Linked DNA regions of Macaca mulatta. The protein of the gene in region 3 purifies or fractionates together with the protein of the main gene of each other region. This does not show direct contact. Links are inferred from orthologs where the notes say so. Each region holds a gene or a part of one and is shown on either strand. Other genes may lie near its edges.

The links.
Region 1: the proteins of HSCB (region 3) and SDHB purify together in Homo sapiens (co-immunoprecipitation; 3 studies listed by BioGRID and IntAct, with this or other methods). This does not show direct contact. The link is inferred for Macaca mulatta from reciprocal best matches to the Homo sapiens genes HSCB and SDHB.
Region 2: the proteins of HSCB (region 3) and SDHAF1 purify together in Homo sapiens (co-immunoprecipitation; 3 studies listed by BioGRID and IntAct, with this or other methods). This does not show direct contact. The link is inferred for Macaca mulatta from reciprocal best matches to the Homo sapiens genes HSCB and SDHAF1.
Region 4: the proteins of HSCB (region 3) and SUCLG2 purify together in Homo sapiens (affinity purification with mass spectrometry; 3 studies listed by BioGRID and IntAct, with this or other methods). This does not show direct contact. The link is inferred for Macaca mulatta from reciprocal best matches to the Homo sapiens genes HSCB and SUCLG2.
Region 5: the proteins of HSCB (region 3) and ISCU purify together in Homo sapiens (affinity purification with western blotting; 3 studies listed by BioGRID and IntAct, with this or other methods). This does not show direct contact. The link is inferred for Macaca mulatta from reciprocal best matches to the Homo sapiens genes HSCB and ISCU.

What each region holds. Positions count from the first base shown.
Region 1 is NC_133406.1:223,985,276-223,989,682, reverse strand, and holds part of SDHB (succinate dehydrogenase [ubiquinone] iron-sulfur subunit, mitochondrial), read right to left. Parts: intron 1,254-4,407; coding exon 1,117-1,253; intron 392-1,116; coding exon 275-391; intron 1-274. UniProt on the Homo sapiens protein: Iron-sulfur protein (IP) subunit of the succinate dehydrogenase complex (mitochondrial respiratory chain complex II), responsible for transferring electrons from succinate to ubiquinone (coenzyme Q).
Region 2 is NC_133424.1:47,250,891-47,254,370, forward strand, and holds SDHAF1 (succinate dehydrogenase assembly factor 1, mitochondrial), read left to right. Parts: upstream 1-1,765; 5' UTR 1,766-1,868; coding exon 1,869-2,216; 3' UTR 2,217-2,455; downstream 2,456-3,480.
Region 3 is NC_133415.1:22,808,248-22,813,447, forward strand, and holds the start of HSCB (iron-sulfur cluster co-chaperone protein HscB), read right to left. Parts: upstream 3,399-5,200; 5' UTR 3,346-3,398; coding exon 3,110-3,345; intron 992-3,109; coding exon 895-991; intron 263-894; coding exon 173-262; coding exon of another isoform or gene 168-172; intron 1-167.
Region 4 is NC_133407.1:131,056,331-131,060,737, forward strand, and holds part of SUCLG2 (succinate--CoA ligase [GDP-forming] subunit beta, mitochondrial), read right to left. Parts: intron 2,004-4,407; coding exon 1,904-2,003; intron 1,042-1,903; coding exon 951-1,041; intron 1-950. UniProt on the Homo sapiens protein: GTP-specific succinyl-CoA synthetase functions in the citric acid cycle (TCA), coupling the hydrolysis of succinyl-CoA to the synthesis of GTP and thus represents the only step of substrate-level phosphorylation in the TCA.
Region 5 is NC_133416.1:115,689,380-115,694,282, reverse strand, and holds the start of ISCU (iron-sulfur cluster assembly enzyme ISCU), read right to left. Parts: upstream 3,249-4,903; 5' UTR 3,196-3,248; coding exon 3,082-3,195; intron 2,194-3,081; exon of another isoform or gene 2,074-2,193; intron 1,788-2,073; exon of another isoform or gene 1,730-1,787; coding exon of another isoform or gene 1,691-1,729; intron 1,573-1,690; coding exon 1,459-1,572; intron 566-1,458; coding exon 455-565; intron 1-454. Other genes in the region: SART3 (spliceosome associated factor 3, U4/U6 recycling protein), read left to right, coding at 4,628-4,903.

The DNA.
Region 1 (4,407 bases), on a different chromosome or scaffold from region 3:
GGTTTATTTTGAAAAAGATGGACTGCAACACAGCAACCACCCGCCCCTGCAGATGTGGCACAGGGGCTCTAGCTCCTTGGTCCACTCTGGGCCATTCATGGGTTCACACTACTCACCCGGCCCTAAGAGGATGACTGCCCCACCCTTGTGCCAGTTCCTTTCCAGGATACACTAAATGGCTTGCATCAGCTCATGTTCCCTGACAAGTCACACTCCTGGCAAACATCTTTGCAATAAATTTTTCAGATCAAAACAATAAATAGGGACTAATGACCAGTTTCTCACGCTCTTCTATGGACTGCAGATACTGCTGCTTGCCTTCCTGAGATTCATCCTTCTTCTTCAAATAAGGCTCAATGGATTTGTACTGAGCATAGAAGTTGCTCAAATCCTGTGGTTAAGAGGAAGAAGAAGAAAAGGATCAGATTCCATCATCACCTCAGCTTTATTTACCCCATTTCTTGGACACTTGACTAGTCGTCCACTCTATGCCAGGCAGAAGCCAGACTCTCTTCCTTTGTCACGAATATATGCAAAGATTACAAAAGGAGAAATGGTCACAATGTTAAGCATGGTTAGGAAACGTCTCCCTCACCTACCTGGGAAACCTGCCAATCCCACAGTCCTTTCTGCCCTTGAAAACACCACGTCAGCAAAGGTGGTCAAATACAGGGAGGCAGAAATTAAAGTAGAACTCATAAACAGCTGTTGCTTTCCCAACAGGTATTTTCCACATGATTTCTTTGTAGTTATGGCCAAATTATTCATTTCTGGGAATGTTCCAACTCTAAAATTCTGTGCCCTGTTATTCTCAAACAAACCTCACCAAATGAGCTGCTGGAGGATTTTCTAGGCATTTATCTTCTGCCATTCAAATTCTTTAATTAAACTCTGGTCACACTGTCTCAGATCTGGGGATTTTCCTAACCTCTCAGTGACACTGTGGTCCTCCTCTTGCCATAACATAGGAAATAGTCCCATCTATTTACTATCCGACTAGAAGAGGAGCCTTAAATACTCAAATCCTGCCCTAAAAAACTAATAGCATAACGCACATAGCACCACCCCCCATGCAAGCAAAAACAAAAACAAAACCAGAGAGATGCAGAAACTCACGGGAACAAGGTCCTTTATCACATACATATGCGGAAGAGGGTAGATTTTTGAGACCTTATTGAGGTTGGTGTCAATCCTTCGGGTGCAAGCTAGAGTGTTGCCTCCATTGATGTTCATTGCACAAGAGCCACAGATGCCTGAAAGAGACACACATGTAACACATCCTCACCCATATCTGGAATCAGTCCTGCCCCAAATCCTTTCTTCTGGGTCCTCCTTGCTCTGCCATCAGGGGCAGCACTGACATGGAACATGCCTCTGACAGAGGTACCTGTGGCCTTTTCTCCCTTCCTTCCTTCTTCCTGCCTCGAATATGGTTCTAATGGCTTGAGTTCCAAAAACCACTCTATGACCATATGGCAACCTTGAGGTTAGAAGCCGCATGCCAAGGATGGCACTGGAGGAGGCCAGGGGCTTGGGCACTACTGGCGCCATGGAGTTTCCACAGCAGTTCTAGCTCTATGTGGCAAGTGTTTTGAGAGAAAAATCAGCCTGTGTGTGTTTTTTGTTGTTGTTGTTTTTTTAAGAAACAGTCTCACTCTGTCACCAGGCCGGAGTGCAGTGGTGCAATCATAGCTCACTGCAGCCCTCAACCCCTGAGTTCAAGTGATTCTCCCACCTCAGCCTCCCAACTAGCTGGGACTACAGAAGCAGCCCACCACACCCAGCTAATTTTCTGTAATTTTTGTACTGACGGGGCTTGTAGAGACAGGGTTTTGTTATGTTGCCCAGGCTGGGCTTGAACTGCTGGGCTCAAGCAATCTGCCTGCCTTGGCCTCCCAAAGCACTGGGATTACAGGTGTGGGCCACTGCGCACCCGTCAATGTTTTTTTTTTTTTTTTGAGACAGAGTTTTGCTCTTGTTGTCCAGGCTGGGGTGCAATGGCGCGATCTTGGCTCACCACAACCTCCGCCTCCCCAGTTCAAGTGATTCTCCTGTCTCAGCCTCCCGACTAGCGGTGGGCGTGGTGACTCACGCCTGTAAGCCTATGTTTTTTAAAGCCACTGTTATTTGAACACAAATCTAACAGATACAACACCCAAAAGTAAAGTAAATCAACACTGTCTTGGTCATCTTAAGGTTGAGGTGACCTGGATACAGATTATCAAGAGATAACTCTTCTTTTTTTTTCTTGGCTGAGTCTTGCTCTATCACCCAGGCTGAAGTGCAGTGGGGGAGTCATAGCTCACTGTAGTTCACTTTAGCCTCAAACTTCTGGACTCAAGCGAACCTCTGCCACAGCCTCCTGAGTAGCTGGGACTACAGGCACGTGCCGCCATGCCCGACGAATTCAAAAAAATTTTTTGTAGGTTGGGTTAAGTGGCTCACACCTGGAATCCCAGTACTTTGGGAGGCTGAGGTGGGCAGACAACTTGAGGTCAGGAGTTCGAGACCAGCTTGGCCAACATGGTAAATCCCTGTCTCTACTAAAAATATAAGTCGTGGCAGGCGCCTGTAATCCCAGCTACTCGGGAGGGTGAGGCGGGAAAATCACTTGAACTGGGGAGGCAGAGGTTGCAGTGAGCCAAGATCGCGCCACTGCACTCCAGCCTGGGTGACAGAGCAAGACTCCATCTCAAAAAAAAAAAAAATAAAGAAATTTTTTTTTTTTGTAGAGCAGGGTTTCACTTTATTGCCCAGGCTGGTCTCTAACTCACAGCCTCAAGTAATCCTTCTGCCTTTGCCTCCCACTGTGTTGGGATTACAGGCCTGAGCTACCACACTCAACACACATAAGGCTTTTCTACTTAAAATAAGCAGCATAGTACCGTGGGGTTATGAAACCCACAAAAACTGACTCAGCATGGACTTTCCAAAGAGGAGAAGAATCAACTAATGTGAAACTGAGGCAAAGCAAAGCAAACTAAACAAAAAACATGCTGACTCAGGACCCTGACATGAGAATTTTCTTAGCCTGGACCTACTTCCTGTATATGCAAATTTCCCGGGCATTTCGGAGTTTAAAAATGATTATGTACTCTAAACCTCTAGTGCCAGTCCTCTGAAGCTGTTTTTTGAAGATCATTAGGTCAGAGAAACCTGATTGCTTGAGAAAGTTGCACTGGTTATCACCATTTTCTTTTTTCTTTTGAGATGGAATCTCGCTCTTTCACCCAGACTGGAGTACAGTGGCGTGATCTCGGCTTACTGCAAGCTCTGCCTCCCAGGTTCAAGTGATTCTCCTGCCTCAGCCTCCTGAGTAGCTGGGATTACAGGCGCGTGCCACCACACTCGGCTAATTACTATATTTTTAGTAGAGACGGGGTTTTAACATGTTGGTCAGGCTGGTCTCAAACTCCTGACCTTGTGATCTGCCCGCCTCAGCCTCCCAAAGTGCTGGGATTACAGGCATGAGCCGCCACGCTTGGCCTCACCTTTTTTTTTTTTTTTAAATGGAAAGGGAGTCTATGTTTCCCAAGCTGGTCTCAAACTCCCAGCCTCAAGCTGGCCTACCACTAGACCTTCCAAAGTACTGGGATCATAGGCATGAGCCACTGTGCCCAGTCAGTTATCACTTTCATAAGACGAGAAAAGACAGTGAGACTCTCTCCCTCTCATGTAAATCTTAGTAAGAGTTTAAGAGAACACAAAGATGTGTCTTAAGCAAGAGACTGGATATTATCAATACATTTATGTACACCTGGCATCCAACTCGAGCAGTTTGCTTTTACAAGAAATGGCATAAAAATTAAAAAAATAAATCCAATGACCTTTCTCTCAAAAAGGCTCTCTGGGAATTCTCTTTCAAGATGGGAATTAAAAAAAAAAAAAAAAAAGAAAACAAGATGGGCATAAAAAGGAGCAGCAATTGATACAATTCTGCCTCATTTTTCTTTTAGTCCAGACGGGTCATACCTTATGTTCTTGGCTCTGAAAGAGACCTACAGGGAAAGGTTACTGAAAAGCATCTACCTTTCCTGTGGTGTCAGGACTTACATGGGGAAGGCTGCTGTTTAACTGCTGCAGAATGTTCCCTGAACAGCAGGACTCAGCTGAACTATCATCATATCCATCAGCATTTGCAAAAATTAGATTTAAATAAGATTAGCTGAATCAAAACAGATGTCTTAAGAGACTTGAAATGCTTGAAATGTACAGTCGAACAGATAAAAAGCGATGAGCTATTATCTATACTGGCTTTTCCTTTTTTTTTTTTTTTTTTTTTAGGGTTCTCTTAGAAAAAAGCTCAGTGTCCTCACAAAACCAAGTTACATTCTGCTTTTATTTTATCCCAGGTGTTCCAAGCCAAGTCAGTGCCTGAGAGAGCAGATCTGGAGTCTGGAGTCTGAC
Region 2 (3,480 bases), on a different chromosome or scaffold from region 3:
ACAAAAAATAAATATTTAAAATTCCAGAGTGAAGCCTGGGCAACATAGTGAGACTTTGTCTCTATAAAAAACAATAAAAGAAGAATTATCCAGGTGTGGTGGGATGTTCATGTAATCCTAACTACTGGACATATTGAGGTGAGAGGATTGCTTGAGCCCAGGAGATCAAGGCTGTAGTTTCACCAATATGGTGAAACCCCGTCTCTACTAAAAATACAAAAAATTAGCCCAATGTGCTGGTGTGCACCTATAATTCCAGCTACTGGGGAGGCTGAGGTACGAGAATCACTTGAACCTAAAGGCAGAAGTTTCACCATGTTGATCAGGCTGGTGTTGAACTACTGACCTCGGGTGGTCTGCCCGCCTCAGTCTCCGAAACGGCTGGAATTACAGGTGTGAGCCACCGCGCTTGTTCTAGGACATGTATTTTTGATAGACATACATACACCCGACAGGCAGGATTCACAGTGGTTTCTGATTCTCCCTTGACTCCGAAACTCCAAGCCTAATCTCCGCCCCTGACCAGCTTCTCCTCTCTGAAGAGGAACGGACCCCCAGCTGGCTGCCGGCCCAAGTGTGTGAGCCGCAGTTGCACGCTGGGTGGAGGGGTCTGGGGTTGTCACCGAGCGGTCCCCCAAGCTCCGGTGCTGGTGGGGCCTGAGGATGCTGTGTCCTTGCGGGCCTCCCTGGCGCTACCAGGACGCCTCCAGGCGGCCCGCGGGGACAACAACGGCATTGCGGCCTACGACCTGAAGCTCCTGGGAGGACAACGGGCTGCCAGTCTAGTCCACTGTTCAGGGCGTCCCAGACTCCCGGCTTTAACAGTCCGTGAGGACCCAAACACCGCTGCCCAGTGCCCCGACTCCCACCTGCAGAGGGCGCGACCAACCCAGCTCCTAAAGCCACACGCTGCCTCTGGGGGCTTGGCGCCCACACCCGCTCTGCTTGTCTTCCCCTAGCACGGAGAAGCCTGTCCAACCAGCCGAGAGCCATTTCCCTACGGGGCCTCGTCCCTCTGCACGTGCCTAGGGCTGGGACCCCAGACACAGACCTGCCCCGGACGAGGGAACGCACGGAGCTTCCCGAGATGGTTTCAATCAGTAACTGACGGCAAGAGCACGCTTGTGCCCAGTGTCTCTCCCAGTGCTCCGTGCCGTTGGGACCCAAAGTCCGAACCCGTAGCAGGCCGCGGTGGCTCACGCCTGGAATCCCAACACTTTGGGAGGCTGAGAATCGTTTGAGCCCAGGAGTTCGAGGCCATCCTGGGCAACATAGCGAGACCCCATCTCTGCAAATAATAATAATAATAAAATAGGGGGCGCGGTTGCGCGCACCTGTGGTTCCAGCTACTCGGGAAGTTGAGGTGGGAGGATCGCTTGGGCCCAGGAGTTCGAGGCTGCAGTGAGCCAAGATCGTGCCACTGCACTCCAGCCTGGGCGACAGAGCGAGACCCCGTCACAAAAAAACAAAAAAACAAACCCTAGCTTCCTCTTCTCCCAGAACGCAGGAGTTAGGTCAGGACCCTCTGTTCCCTCCGACCCAAGACCTAGGAGTCCGAACACATAGCGACCTCCTCCTACGACACGCAGGTGCCAGGATCCCCAGAACTGCAGTCCCTTCAAGAACACGTGTTCCCTACAGGGGAGGCCGCGACCAGAGACTCCGCCCACTTCTCCCAGCCCGCTGTGGTGCAACAGCAACGACAGCCAATCAGACGCGGCAGCGCCGGATGGCGGGAGGCGGGAGTTGGGGGCCAAGGGAAGCGCAGGGCGGAAGTGGCTGTGGCTTTGCCCTTTGGCCTTGGCTCGCTGTGTGGCGGCTCGGCGGTTAGCAGGGAGTTCGCTGAGCGTCTCTGCCTAGCCGCGGTCATGAGCCGGCACAGCCGGCTGCAGCGGCAGGTTCTGAGCCTGTACCGCGATCTGCTGCGTGCCGGACGCGGGAAACCGGGCGCCGAGGCGCGAGTGCGGGCCGAGTTCCGGCAGCACGCGGGCCTGCCGCGCTCCGACGTGCTGCGCATCGAGTACCTGTACCGCCGCGGGCGGCGCCAGCTGCAGCTGCTACGCTCAGGCCACGCCACCGCCATGGGCGCCTTCGTACGCCCGCGGGCCCCGACCGAGGAGCCTGGCGGCGTGGGTTCCCAGCCTGACGACGGCGACGGTCCAAGGAACCCCCACGACAGCACGGGGGCACCGGAGACCCGGCCCGACGGACGGTGACTGGCGAAGAGCCGAACTCGCTCGATGGCGTGGTGGAGCCAGGAGGCTCGCCTGACTGCGTGGGGGGCCTGGGGAACCCGCCTAAGGTGAGAGATCTCGAGAGACTAGCTCGACGAATTGGGGATGTCAGAGACTGCCCCTTGGCGACGCAGGGGGCCTAGAGAGCCTCATGATGGACGGCAAGAGAGGCCCACCTTTTCCGGTGCTTGGAGACAGGTCGGCGCTCCTCCCCCATGAGGGCTTGGGGCGGCCTGGGACGCCGGCGGGCTGGACAGTGTCAAGCCGAGAGCTACTTGCCCGAAGGTACGGGGAGCCAGGACGCCCCCTGCTGGACAGGGAGAGCCTGAGACACCCTTCTCTTGACCCCTGAGAACACACCCACCTCTGGCTCCTCGAGTCTCCCCTCTCCTATATTTAACTCTGAGAAGTGCAGACTTTTTGCTGAGAAAGTATTGGGAAGGTTCCCTGATCAAGCGGTGAGAAGCCCGGAATCCCCTTTGGGAAAACTTTCCCCCATTAATTGTGACAAGCCAGGACCACGAGGAAGGGGCTAGCGGTCTGTCACCCTGGTTGATCAACTAAAGGGCCCTACTTGATGGTTTTGAGGGGCAACGTTGACTCATTTGCCCCTTCCCTCTCAGAATGTTGGACAAAGGGAATAAAATTGGGGATATGTCTACTTTCCTGTTGGTGGTCTTAAAGCTTTTATATATTTGAGGATTTTTGAAACCCCCCCCCCCACCACCACCACCGCACACACACACAGACACCTGGAAGGGACCATCTGGGAGGTAATAGGTGTGGGAATCTGACTCCCTCCGGAGTCCTCTAGACTGGCACATTGATTGAAGCAGCATAGTTCTCTCCCCTGGGCAGATTTGTGGAGGGGGTTCATCCTGGCTTAACCCCCAAAGATACCCCAGTTGGCTCCCTAATGGAGGGCAAGTTGTTTAACATCTTTGTGTGGGACAGGAAATGGTGGAGCTGAGAACTGGCTCAAAGCCTCTGAGGCAGTAGTGGGGGTCTCAGACCTGGAAATTTCTCAAACGCAGCTGAAGGGTCCAGCCTCAGCTACAATGAACGACAAGGCCTGGGGCAGGGGAGGGGAGATGAACCCCATAGATCACAGGTATACTCCCTCCTGTGTCCCCATATGGGCCTGCCCTAGACATTCTGTGGAGGGATGCAGTTTGCATCACTGAGCTGTATTTGCACCCATGTCAGTTAAGTAAGTGGAAATGAGTTCTTGTGGATGTAGCTGTGG
Region 3 (5,200 bases):
TCCTGGGCTGAAGTGATCTGTCCACCTCAGCCTCCTAAAGTGCTGGGATTACAGGTGTGAGCCACCATGCCCGACCTCAAGCACTCTTCTGCTGAATAAAGGGGACGTGGCTGTCCTATGTCATAATGGGCATCAGGACTTCATGCACAAAAGGGTTGGGAAATCACCTTACAAGGTACAGTCCTCTGCTCAGGGGGGCGAGGAGGGTCTTATAGGCGTCATTCACCAGGGTCGAATGCTTCTCTGAGAAGTCCTTTTCAGTCTGTTAGTGGAGATGAAGATAGTACTTTACCATCCAAATTACAAAGTTTTTTTTTTTTTTTTTTTAGACAGAGTCATCCAGGCTGGAGTGGCAGTGGCATGAACTCAGCTCACTGCAACCTCTGTCTCCCACGTTCAAGTGATCCTCCTGCCTTAGCCTCTCAAGTAGCTGGGACTATAAGCGTGTGCCACTGCACTAGGCTAATTTTTATATTTTTAGTAGAGACAGGGTTTCACCATGTTGGCCAGGCTGGTCTTGAACTCCCGACTTCAAGTGATCCGCCTGCCTGGGCCTCCCAAAGTGCTGGGATTAGAGGCATGAGCCACTGCACCAGGCAGGCCCACAAAGTTTTATAATATGCTGATGGGCAGGCACCTAAGGAAGTGGTTAAGTAGAGCTGGTGTGGGATGAGATGTCTTTATACTCAGCTGATAGGTTTTAAGTTATCGGGGAAGTCAGACAAAAGCTATGAGTGAATGGCAGCTCTGGGTCTGGCAGGCTAGGGTCAGACTGCCATGGGGCAGACACAGCTGATTTTCCAGCTGGGTCCATGATAATCACATAATCACAAGGCCACTGCCACCCAGTATGCACACATATTTGGGGATTATTGGGGTTGGCCAATAAGCTACCTGAGACCTCTGGCTGAAGAAATCTGGGTGGACAAGACGCTGCAGTTGCTGGTACCTGTGCTGGAGCTTTGCAGTATCAACTCTGAAGGAACGGTTGCTGGAAAGAAATTGGGAGATTAAATTTATGCAACAGATATTTAAAGATTTGTCTACCATGAGCCTGGTTCTTGCTCTTATGGGGAAGTTGCAATAACATATACACAGATAATTTCAAAAAGTGGTAGGTCCTACGAAGGGACACAGAACAGAATCAGAGTGGGTAGCAGATGTAGTGGACAATGAGACGACACTGAACTGAAACCTGAATGATGAGTAGTCAAAGATCAGATGAAAGAGACATCCAGGTGGAATTCCAAGAGCAAGGACCTCGAGGTGGAAGCAAGACAGGGATGCCTGAGGAACTTAAAGATCAGTGTTACTGTAGCCCCTTATACATGTTCAATGACTGGTGGGGGCAGATCCCACAGTTAAGGGAAAAGGACATTCCTAAATTACACAAAGATTTTTTGCCTGGCCAAACTTTAGTCAGATTTCTGAACCTTCTCCTAGGCCCAGCTGTATGCTTTCTTGTAAAATCCAGTTTTGGCAAATAACCTTGCTAAGTCAGTTTAGCTAGAATCTTAGATATTTGATTATCCTAAATCTCTGATCAGAGTGTTCATCCTCCACCATCCCCTAGGTAATGTCTGAGCACCCTGGCCTGTCTTCAGCAAGAATACTGTTAGGTCGGTTTAGCCAGAATCCCGTTTACTCTGCTCCTTGGCTACAAATTTCCTTCTGCCCATGCTGTTTTTGGAGTTGAGACCAATCTCTCTCCCTAACTGCAAGACTCTATTGCAGTGCCCCCTCTACAAGATGATCTTTATTTTCTTTTCTTTTTTTTTTTTTTTTGAGACTGAGTCTGGCTCTGTCGCCCAGGCTGGAGTGCAGTGGCCAGATCTCAGCTCACTGCAAGCTCCGCCTCCCGGGTTTACGCCATCTCCTGCCTCAGCCTCCCGAGTAGCTGGGACCACAGGCGCCCGCCACTTCGCCCGGCTAGTTTTTTGTATTTTTTAGTAGAGATGGGGTTTCACCGTGTTAGCCAGGATGGTCTCGATCTCCTGACCTCGTGATCCGCCCGTCTCGGCCTCCCAAAGTGCTGGGATTACAGGCTTGAGCCACCGCGCCCGGCCTTTTCTTTTCTTTTTTTTTTTTTTTGAGAGGGAGTCTCGCTCTGTTCCCCAGGCTGGAGTGCAGTGGCGCGATCTCGGCTCACTGCAAGCTCCGCCTCCTGGGTTCACGCCATTCTCCTGCCTCAGCCTCCGGAGTAGCTGGGACTACAGGCGCCCGCCACCGCGGCCGGCTAATTTTTTGTATTTTTAGTAGAGACAGGGTTTCACCGTGGTCTCGATCTTCTGACCTTGTGATCCGCCCGCCTCGGCCTCCCAAAGTGCTGGGATTACAGGCGTGAGCCACCGCGCCCGGCCAAGATGATCTTGAATAAAGTCTTTCTGGTGTTTGAACAAGTGTGACTGAATAACGTTTTCTTTAATACCACCCTATCTTTTCCACAGCCCAGGTCCCTTCATCCCTGTCTCCCGGTTTATTTTAATTCAACCCCGTTCACACTCTACTCCCAGAGTCTGTCCTATTTCCTTATCAGTTCAGCTCTATCCACACTGCCCCATCTCTCCAAGATCGTCAGCCTCAGGGGAAAAAACTATTTATTGGACCCTTTCCCTCGAATTCTCACTTTTCCCTCAGGTCTCGCCTACAATATTAAGATTTTCATGCTTTACTCCCCAATTTCGGACTACACTTCTGCAGTCCTTTCTTAAATACATCAAACCAACTCTTCCAGTCTCCCGGGCCCTGCCCCTCAAGTACCCCTTCCTCAAGCTCCGCCCCTCGACTTCTCCTTCCCTTTCCCGTAGGTACCGCCCCTCAAATTTCCCTCCCCTCTAGCCTCGGCCCCCCTATTTCCTCTAACTTCAGCGCCCGCCCCTCCAGTCTCGTTCGTCTCCCTTCTCCACACCTCAACGCTGCTTCCCTCAGTCCCCGCCTCTCAATTTCCTCCTGAGAAATCAAGACACTTCTCTCACGCCTGCTCTCTAGACCTCCGCCCCCCTATCGGTCCCGCCTTCTCTTCCGCAAGCCAGATCCGTCCTCCCCTCTCGCAGGCCAGACCCCGACGTCTCTCTCGCCCGGGCCCGTTTCCCGAAACAGTCGCTCGTACCAGTCCATAAGGCTGAAGTAGTCTCGAGTGGGGTCAGGTGCCTGCAGCGCTCTGCACTGTGGGCAGAAGAACCTGTCCTCCCGCCCGGGGCCCCATGGGCCGCCGCAGTTCCAGCAGTGGGGAGAATTGCTTTCCGCCTGCGACGCAGCATCGCAGCTTAGCAGTCTCCTTCTGGGACCCCCTGTCGGCCAAAACCCCCACACCCGGAGCAAAGCCCCGACTCTCCCCCGCCACATCTCGCCGGCGGCCTAGCTAGCCGTGGTCACCCGTGGGGAAAAGCAAAGAGAGCGTCCAACCAGACTAATGCTGCTGATTGGCTGGGGAGTCGAGGGGGCGGGATCACCCGAGGGGAACCCGAGTTCTAAGTTCCGCTCTGCCTTCTAAACTACAACTCCCAGGAAGCATTGAGGCGATGCCTGACGGCCACATCTGCTGCTCCTCATTGGTCCGGCGGCAGGGGAGAGGGTTTTGATTGGCTGAGGGTGGAGTTTGTATCTGCAGGTTTAGCGCCACTGCAGGCTGAGGCTGTGGAGAGTGTGCGGCTCCAGGTGGGCTCACGCGGTGAGTCATATTGGGAACTTCTGTTGGGTGTTTGGTGGTTCGAATCCCATCTTCAGCGTTTCGTGCGAGCGGAGTCTCCTGAGCTTCGCTTTGTCTGTATTTTTGTACTGAAGGGGGAGTGTGTGGGCGACTCTCTTCCTTTTTAGTAGATCATCCTCGAGGTGAAGTTCACTTCCCGTATTACTTACAAGCTGAAACAGGCCTGAACGGACAGGATAAGAAGGAACAGAGTTGTGTTCTTCAATATCAGAGCGAAGTTACTTTGTAAAAAGTTCTATAGATGTTAGTAATCATTGCCATTCTTTAGATTCAATCTCTAAAATACTTATAGAGAGGCCAGTCTTAGCTACTGGGCGCTGCAGGAACTGGAAACGCACTGAGCTGTGTAGGAGGATGTTCTGCGTGTCCCTAAGTAAGTCCCTAAGTAAGTGTATGGGATAGGGTGGCCAGGAGTGGGTAGGAGGGAATCAGTCCTCCTTCGGACTTAGGTTTTCTACTTGAAAAAAAAGATTGTGTTTCACTTGAAAGCCTTCTGGACTTTTTTAAAAAAATTATTTATTTTTGATATAAAGTATACATGTATGAGTACCACATATGTACCTTTTTTTTTTTTTTTTTGAGACGGAGTCTCTCTCTGTTGCCAGGCTGGAGTGCAGTGGCGCGATCTGGGCTCACTGCAACTTCTGCCTCCTGGGTTCAAGCGGTTCTCCTGCCTCAGCCTCCAAAGTATCTAGGATTATAGGTGCCCGCCACCATGCCCGGCTAGTATTTTTAGTAGAGATGGGGTTTTACCATGTTGGCCAGGCTGGTCTTGAACTCCTGACCTCAGGTGATCCACCCGCCTTGGCCTCCCAAAGTGCTGGGATTACAGGTGTGAGCCACTGCACCCAGCCTAATTTCAGTTTTTTGAGGAATCACAATACTTTTGTGATTAGTGGCTATACTAATTTGCATTCCCACCAATGGTGTATGTGAACAGGGCAAGGTCAGACATAACTAGGTCCGTGAACATTTGTGTTTTTCCACAAGATCAGACTTACTGATGTTTTATTTTAATTGTAAAAGCCACGAGCTACATGGAGTTCCCAAGGAAGCAATTTTCTGTAGTACTACCTGTTTACTTGGTAGTCAGAACCATGGGCACACAGGCTGAAGCCATTCCACAAGTCAGTCAGCATTGTAAATTATACACAATAGTATAGTTATTTAATATATAAATGTTATAGGTTAAAAATCTTACATTAAAGTAACATTTAACATTCAGAGAAAAGGGGATAGGGAAAGCGGTTATCAAACCAGTCCAAGGAGAGCAATGTGGACAAAGAGAGTGTTTTGGCTTGATCTGGGGTGTCAGTGTCTTGTAAGGAAGAGTTTTTGATGTGGATGAGCCTTTGGTGGCAGATGCTGGGTGTTAATCGTGAGTGACAGCAAGATGGTGTCTGTTAGGACAGCCATTCTGACCTAATAAAGTCCTGGTCTTATGACCACAAAATTTTCTGGTAAGGACTAATAACAAAAGCGTGTACATGT
Region 4 (4,407 bases), on a different chromosome or scaffold from region 3:
GCATGTTACCACTGCACTGTCCTGCAGCATGGTGCACTGGTAGAGACCACTGATCTGTGATGCTATGTTAATGGAGCAGACAGCTGCCATCCCAAAAGGCGGGACCCTAATTTGCTGCTAGGACAGGACCTTCTAACCATGGATGCTTTTCAGGGCTGACACATGTGATCTGTGTAGTTGTATAGGGATTTAATGTTTAGCAATAGCTGTCTTGAAATTTTAACACGGGTCCCCTGCCTTTTTATTTTGCACTGGATTCTGCAACCCAGATAGCTAGTTCTAGTGTCTGGATACACAAAAGGAATGGTGAAAGGCAGACTGGCAGGAGGGAGAGTTAGGTTCTGGTCTCAGCTCTACCACTCACAATTTCATGATTGAGGCAGGCTACTTTCCTGTAGGCTTTATTTTCTATGTGTGGATGAGGGGTGTGTGTCCACATACTATACATACTTGGGTGCTTCAGCTGATCTTCCTAATGAAATATACTCCCAGCAATAAAAATGGCTCAAAATTGTAGTCATCCCAAAATAAGGAATGGGGCATTTAGAAAAACCACCACAATAGGTAATTCTGACAGACACACCTGGAGTGGAGGGCCACTGTGTGGGAGCAGCGAATGTCCCTCATTGAGTATAAGGCTGTCATAGCAAGCACTTCTCAACTAAATAGAATACATCTGTGTTCTCAGAGGGACAGCCATTGCTTGGTCACTCACCGTCACCCACTTTTGCTAAATGCTAATGATGATAAATAATATTACTATCATAGAGCCCTTTTTATTTTTCTTCAAAGACATACCACTTACTAAACAGATTAGATGAGCTTTAAAAAATAAAATGGCACATTGCCAAAGAGCAGTATTTCATTAGATTTTGTCAAAAACTAAAAGATGGGTTTCTTTTCTATTTTTTAACACATACATAGAAAATGACCCAAAGCATCCATATTACCTTGTTAACTTTCACACCTTCTTTTGGAGTTTGTTTTGTCGCTAGATTGTACCCAATCATCTGTTTAGCCAGCTGTCCCACAACATTTGGGCTAAGAGAAAGAGAAAACAAAGGGAAAATGAATGTTTGTTGAAAATCATTTTAAAGCAGAGTCCTTACACAGAGTCTCATGTCTACACTGCAAAGGGTTCACCTTCACCCTCACAAAATCCATGGGTCTTTCTGCTTCTGTGCTACGTGTTTAGCACTGTACTAGAGGTTCACTGAGAGCAAAATAAAAATGAGTTCATGAATGAATAAAGGAAACAAAAGATGCTTTGTGACCTCTTCACCCAAAACAGTTACAGTCATAGTAAAGAGATAATGCTAAAATGCATACCAGAATCAGATAAGAGTTGACTGAAGATCCGGCAGCGGAAAACTGGGGAGATATTGAACAATGAGAGGGATAGGAAGAGGGTAAAGATCAAAGTAAATAGTAAAAAGGTGTGTGACAGGAACAGGGAGGAGAGGAAAGTGTTCAGTGCTACGAGACACAGTAGATGAAGGTGAAAAGACAGGCCAAATAAAGGAAGGCTTGGACTATCAGAGGGGAGGTACCCCAGGTGCCACTGGTAATGGGGAGTCACTGCAGGTTCTTGAATAGGAGTGACATTATGGAAGTAGCATTTCAGTTGGAAGTGGTATCATTTCCAACATTTATGATGAATCATTGATTGTCTAGGAGAGAAGGACTGTCAAGTTTTCACCAATTAGTAAGAAAAATCATTTTGTGGGAGCAGAAGGGAAACTAGGCCACTGCCAGAGCCCTCTACCTATGATTTCAGTTTGTTCTAGTTGCTTTGGCCCGCTCCTACCCCACCACAAGCATCCTCAGTGTGCCTTTCAATCTTGAGCAAGATCTTCCATAACTGCTTGGCCGAAAGACAAGGAATAACAACCTCCAGACTTACTCTTTTGTTAAATGAACACCTCCTTTCAAACCACTATTGAAGACACCTTTTCCTCTTCCTCCAGCTAAGATCTGGGCTTTTAAAACAATTTCTTTTGCATCTGAAAAAGAAAAATCCAGAGTTGGTAGCTGATTTTAAATTCTTTTTTTTGTTTTTTAAGCAACAAGGAAAGCAATAATGGCACATAACTTCCGAGTAACTGGTAAAAGCTCTTTCAAACTAACTTTGAAAACAAATGCAATGAAGAACTTCAAAAAAAAAAAAAAAATCAATGTGCCTAGTACGAAGCTTGTTTACTGAGGATATTCAAATGCTTCCTACCAGTTTAATCATCGAATACTTGACCTTCCCAAGGGAAAGCAAGGCATGTGTTCCCTTGCTCTTTTGAGTGTGTCAGAAAAAGCTAAATAAACCCTGGAAGGAGGTATTAATTTTCCTGTGCAATGGCACTCCCATATGGCAGAAGCACCAGTCTGCCAGTAAGAGGAGCTAACCATCAGAGATGTCAAAGGGAAGACTGGATTATGTGGGGGAAGGTTTAAAGACAAGACACAAAGGTCATAGTTAATAACTACATTATTGGAAACCAATAGTTTTCTGAGCAGTTGTTCTATATATTGATAGGGTTAGGCAAGGGAGGAGGAAATGGATTAAAACTAAAAGCAAGCAGTATTTTAAACTTATTGGCAAGGTAACAAAATATCCTGGGGCAAAGTGGTTGTGGAATCTTTGTTTCTCTTCACACTCTAGGAATGAAAGAACTCTCTAATCTTGACTTTTTAGATGAGAGTTATTAACACAAGTACGTTCCCTTGCAGGGAAGTTGGGTGCGTGAAGTAGCCCAGTGACAAATGGGGCCTTTAGCAAACAGGGTAGCTCCCCTCCCCAACCACCAAAAAAAAAAAAAAAAAAGCCTCCAAATCAAATATGTTTAATAAACCAAACAGCACACATCTGCAGACCACAGCTGATACTGATATCCTCTGTTTGTGAGTCATCTTTATTTAAAATCAGAGAACCCAATCGATCCTCTATAAGGCCGTAAGAGTATTCTGGTTCAATATAACAGATTTAGAATCTGCAAACCCAGGTTTCAATCTGGCCTTCATCCCTCACCCAGCTGTGTGACATGAGGTGAGTTACTTAATGTCTCTGAAACTCGGTTTATTCAATTGTGAAATGATGATGAGGGTTGTTTTAGAAATTAAATGAACATACATGAATGCTTTATCCCAGAGCCTGAAAACTCATGATTAATTAAAAACTATTGCCTCAACCAGTTAGTTCATTCATTACCTTTGTATATTGTAAAGAATGAAAGGGATCATTACAGAGATGGCTAAACCAAAAAACTAACATTTTGTTGGTATCTGCCACTGCTCAATGAAGCAAGCGCTCCATTAAGTTTGGTTATTTCAGCTACTACTGTCACTGTCATCCTCACTGTTACTCACAGGCAAGCAAGTAAAGGTTCAAATGGAAAGAGCCGTGAAAGGTTTTATCATGAAGGCAATGGGGAGCTACAGAAGTATTTTACAGAAGGCATTCGGCCAGCTGATGTCACACCATTGAGGCTCCTTCACTGTCTTTATTGGTTAGTCTTCTTGTCTCCTATATTTGCTTACACTCAGAAAGCTGAAGCCCACCTTGTTCTCAGAAGCAAACACAGTTTTTTCTTAGAATGCTGTCCTGTGTACCCTCCGGCAATAATTTCTGCCCTGGATACGGACCATCACAACATCGGTCAAGCCCTGTCTTAAAATAAACTGGTTTCCATCAAGCTGAGTAGAAGACAAATTAATTGTCAGAAACTTACAAGGAAAGCAACCAAGTAAAATGAATGCACTGCATATTTAGCATACTGTAAGAACAGTAGTAAGAGCAAGGATATTGGAGTTAAACAGACCTGGTTACAATCTCCAACTGCACCTGTCACTTTCTTTGCAGAGAAGAAACAACTGAGATTCAGAAAGGTAAAAGTAGCATGCCCTTCTGTAAAGCAGTCATATTAAAGGAGTCTACAGTGTAAGGATGATGTGAAGAATAAATGAAATATAGTAAAGTGCCTGCCACAGTTTTTTAAGTCAAAATATGACAGCTATCATCATTATAATAATTTTCAGCAATTAAGAAAAAATGGCACACAGGAAGACATTTCCTATTTTTCTTTGGAAGACATCAACTGGAAAAAATACTTTTTGCTGTCTACTCAAATTTTTAATTGTGATCACTTCAAATTCTTTAAAATAACTGGCATTCCATTGCCATTATCATTTTTCATATCCTTGTCATCCCAAAGAGATGCTTTCCTCTCTGAGCTTTCCAGCAGCAAAACCTGAAAGCCAGAGAGAATACCTAATTGGGCATTGTTAATTGGCACTACATAGGCTTGATTAGATCAGCTTTAGTCATGAACCATCAAGACACAGAAACAGTTGTATCCTCAATGAAATGCTGTCAATTGAACGTGTCGCTATTTGACCTCCAGTCAAAAGCATTCCATG
Region 5 (4,903 bases), on a different chromosome or scaffold from region 3:
ATCCCTCTTTTAACACACGCTAGTTTATTTCACCAATCCTTGTAAGCCACCTAGAACCCTTCCTGAAACATGAGAGGAAATAAGCAAGAAAATAACTACCATATAACAACTCTCTGACTTGACAAATTATAAGAGTATTGGTAACCTTAGAGAAAGCCAAAGATTTCTTCTAAATTCTATTTTGTTAGAGGGACAGGTGAGGATCTTTTTTGTATGTAATTAACACCCAAACAAACAAACAAAATGATCAACAAGAAAAAAACCCAAACATCATCTAGAATGATCTATAATTCCCAATTTGAAGAATTAATATAATCAACATCTGTATAGCAGAAACTTTAAAAATTCAGAATATTAAAAAAAAGTTATGGTTGTTTTTGACCCATTAGACCCGTCAAGAGACAGGCTTGGGGTGAATGCAATTTCATTCTGTCAGATTTGTGAGCAACCTTACCGTCTTTCCTTTCACCCATTCAGTGGCTAATGAGCTGGAGGCAATTGCAGAACCACAGCCAAATGTTTTAAACCTAGCATCCACAATTTTCCCCTTTTCATCCACTTGAATCTAGAAAAGAGACAAGAGTTAAGTGGTGAGTCCTAGGACCACCCTCTGGAACTTGGCACTCACGAAGTTTCATTGGGGCCTTCCCCAAGGGCTTTGGGCTTGCTTTCCATACTAAGTGATGGTATTAATTACTGATTTTGCCTTGTTTCAGAGAGCTCAGTGATGAAAAGTGAAATGCAGGGACAACTATCCAGGCCCAACTGACAAAGATCAGCTGAAAAATATGTTCCTCCACCCCAATATTATTTTGTTTTGCGACTCTGGCTTGCATTTTGGCTATGAACTTCTATTTGAGGCAGTCTGCTCACAGCTGCTGGGGCAATCTGCCTCTTAAACACTGAGAGAGTACACAATAAAGGTCTCTGGTTAATACTTTTTTCTTGGGCAGCAGATTATACTTAGTGGTTTCCTCCTGTTTTGTTTCTGTATTCCAAGATAGGTATGAAGATCTCTGGCAAGCTGCCCACTCACCATGAAGCAGCAGATTGGCGCTACAACAACAGTTTACCCAAAGCACTAGACACTATCTTCATGTTGCTCCCAATCTGGGGACAGGTTTAATTTACTGTGTTTCTTATCTCATTGGGGACTGCTAGCTCACTGGGATTTTCCTTTGATCAGTAAAATTTACAAAACTCTTTCGTTGGCTGAAGTTGGAATTTAAACTTATACAGTGAGTACAAAAATGAGATTACTTTTCTATTTCGGAAAAAGTCGGCATAGTACACTAGCCTAGCAGGAGAGCTACGATTGAGGCCCTGTTCCAATCATGTCTAACATGGACTCATCCCATCTCACAGGAATAAAGATGGAGACCGAGTGAAATGCTGTATGTGCAAGTGCTTTGTAAACTTAAAGGGATTATTGTTATCACTATTAAAGACTAGCCATACCTGTAATTTCATTACGTCACCACATGCTGGAGCCCCCACCAGTCCAGTTCCAACATTTTTAGATGTCTTGTCAAGGGACCCCACGTTTCTAGGATTTTCATAATGATCAACAACCTAAAATGAGAGGGTTAAGATAAATCGTGTTCACTCTCTATTGGTGCTGGTCTCTGGTATGGTGGCAAGCTCCTGGAAGTCAGCATCTTGAACCTGGCAGGCAATCACCAAATTTCACCTGAGTAGAAAGGTCTACACTCATGTCAGTGAGAACCATTTGTGACCCCCAATTCCTTTTGTGTCTCCTCTACAACTACTTCACAGATTAGCGACACCTAGAAGAAAAAAATATCAGTGAAATCATGTCTTAATTCCATAGGGTTTTTACAAAAATACTTGACTTTTACCCACCTACATCACCAGACTTGGGCTCAAACAGCAGTTTTGTTATTTTCAAATAAAAACTATCCTCAAAGGATGATTACTATTTAAAAATTCTAAAAATAACTATGGCCCAGGAAGGGAAAACTTTTAGAAGCCTTAAGGTGACTGTTACACAGAGAACAATGCTATGGAATGTGTACGTTTATGTGTCTTTCAAAATAAAAACAGTGCCATTACCGTATTTCAGAGCCTGTCATCACCCTGGTGCAGCAGCGCACCCTGGCTGCTGAAAGGCTGCTAGTCCAAGTTTCCTCGGGGTGTACCCTCAACGAAACACACCGCCGGGAGGGGGAGGAGTGAAGAAGCCCTTGGAGAAAGGGCAGAGGCCAGATCAGAATCAACATCTATTCGAACTGGCACACAGAAGGCCTTAATGTGGTTACTGGTTAGTAGTAAGCACCCCGATCTTCCAGTCCCCTTTTCCTCCCCATCTAAGGATTTTGACTCCAAGTAAAGGCCCCTATAGGATAGTATCTAACGGAGGGACTTTTTGTGCCACGTTGATTTATTCTGTTTCTAGAGTGGCAGTCTCACGTCTGGGGGACTTTGCGTCACCAGACAGCAAGGGGCTGCAAACTATGCATCTATCCCTCCTTCCCCGCCAAAAAAACCCCCAAAACAAAACAAAAACACTACGCATGTTGGTTACAAGTCTGACTCCCCTATGCACTCCTAAAGCAGTAACAAAAACGGTCTCCTCGTGCTGGGGCCTATGTGCCAGGAACCATGACAGGACTCCATGCACAGTATCCTTTGTAAGAGACAGCTGAGAGTCCTCATTTACACCTGGGGAAACAAGTTCAGAGAGGCGCAGTGACTAGCGCAAGGTCATCTGGCCAGGGCAGCAGCGTGGCTGAAGCCGGAGCCCGCTCCGGGGGTGTGTCTGTCAATGGACTGTAAAAGACAAGTCCCAACAGGACCCTGCCTCCTGGGCTGTTGGCGAATTTAAAGTTGGGACGCACGAAGTCGCGGCCAGCGGCGGGGCCCCCTGGAAGTCGCAGCCCGATAAGCGGTAACTGTTGTTTATCAGTTGCAGTGAGCCTCACTGCGTAGCAAGGGAAAGTGAGTCAGGGGAAAGACGTGGGAGGCGACAGCTAGTCCTGGCTGCGTAGAACCCCGCGGCCGCCGCTCCAGCCCAGGCCTCCCCCGAGTCGGCATTCCGCGTGTCCCCTCGTTTGTCCCTACCTTCTTGTGATAGAGTCGGGCCGGGGCCGATAGCTCCCGGGCGGGCAGGCGGGGGCTCCGGAGCAGCAGAGCCGACGCTGCCCGCCTCAGACGGCCAGCTCCAGCTGCCGCCATCTTGCCGGCTTGCGCCTGCGCCAGTCCAGAGCGATGCCGAGGGGCGGGGCGCGTCTGCGAGTCGGCGCCGAGCTGGGAGCGCGCCTCTCTGGCGTCACCGAGGCTTTGCGCCTGCGCCTTACCGTTCCGTGCAAGCCTCCGCCCTGTGGCCCCGCCTTGACCACGCCTCTCGGGGGCGGGCGGGGTCGGGAGCGGGAAGGTCTGAAGTCGCTAGAGGGCTTGTCCTGGGTGCTGGATTCTGGTTGAGAGAGGATCTCAGGCTTCTGCAGTGTGGGAATGCGGCGCAGAGGACCACTGAGTCCACTTTTCCTAACCCTATTTTGCAGCTAAGGAAGCTGAGATTCAGGGCAGTTTGGTCACTCCGTCCAAGGTCGCTTAGGGCTTAGGTTCAATTAGAATTCGAACTTGGGTAGTCCTGGGTTAGAATCCTGGTTCGGTTCCTTCCTGGCTGTGTGTCCCTAGACAAATGGTACCGGCTTGCTAAGTCTGAATCTTCCCTTTTGTATTAATTCGAGGACAATTCCTTCATCATGAAGCCAGCATCTGTGTCGAGTACCTACTATGTGTCAAGGCACTCTACTAGACCCGGGGATCCAACAGAAAGCAAAACAGACGTAATTCCTGCCTATTAAGCTTGCTAATGAGGGAGCAAGGTAGAGATAGAGACACACTCCAGTACTTGCCTACCTCAACAATGGGAAGCTTAAGAAGGAAACGAACACCATGTCCTGATTGAAAAAAAATGAGTATATGTCTATTTTTCTCTCTAAAACAACAGCAAATTCAATTTATATGTCGGTGCCTAGCAATTAAGAATTTCTAAAGAAATGCGTATTTACTGTTGGTTTGCAGTATGTGAGCTTATAAAACCGGAAAACTCAAGTGTATTTAACGCCTCCTAGGTACCAGATGTTTACATAAAGGGGAAGAATTTCTTTGGGAAATGGATTTTTCTCTTGAATGGTGAAATCGATCCTTCCCCGAGGACCTGCAGTTTTCTTTGCGTTTGAGGTGCAGTTGCTGGGGAGACTAAACCCAAGCGCCAGGTCACGCTAGGCGATAAGTAAGGTATTTTTTCTAAGAATCACTTTGACCTTCTCAAGATGGCGCCAAATTCTTTACTACAGACACCACGCTCGCTCCATGACTTCCTCTATGGCCTCCACTTCCTGCCCAAAGACCCAACTTCTGTCCGAAGTTGTGACGGAACGTATGCCATGATAATGAGTTTTTTCTCTGGTGGGAGTTTTTACAGGGGTATAAAATAAAATGAATTTAGTGTATTTGGAGATTTTCTCGTTATCTAAGGTTCCCAGTTTCCCTTTCAGTGTCAAGAAAACGGGCTTTTGATAAGGCGCGCGCCGCGGGCAGCTTCTGCCTCAGCGGGTCTTTGGCGGCCGCGGGAAGACCCGAGAGTCATTAGAAGCGCAAGATGGCGACTGCGGCCGCAACCTCGGCTTCAGAACCTGAGGCTGAGTCCAAGGCTGGGCCCAAGGCTGACGGAGAGGAGGATGAGGTTAAGGCGGCGAGGACAAGAAGGAAGGTGTTATCGCGGGCTGTGGCCGCTGCGACATACAAGACCGTGGGGCCAGGGTGGGATCAGCAGGAGGAAGGCGTGAGCGAGAGCGATGGGGATGAGTACGCCATGGCTTCCTCCGCGGAGAGCTCCCCCGGGGAGTACGAGTGGGAATATGACGAAGAGGAGGAG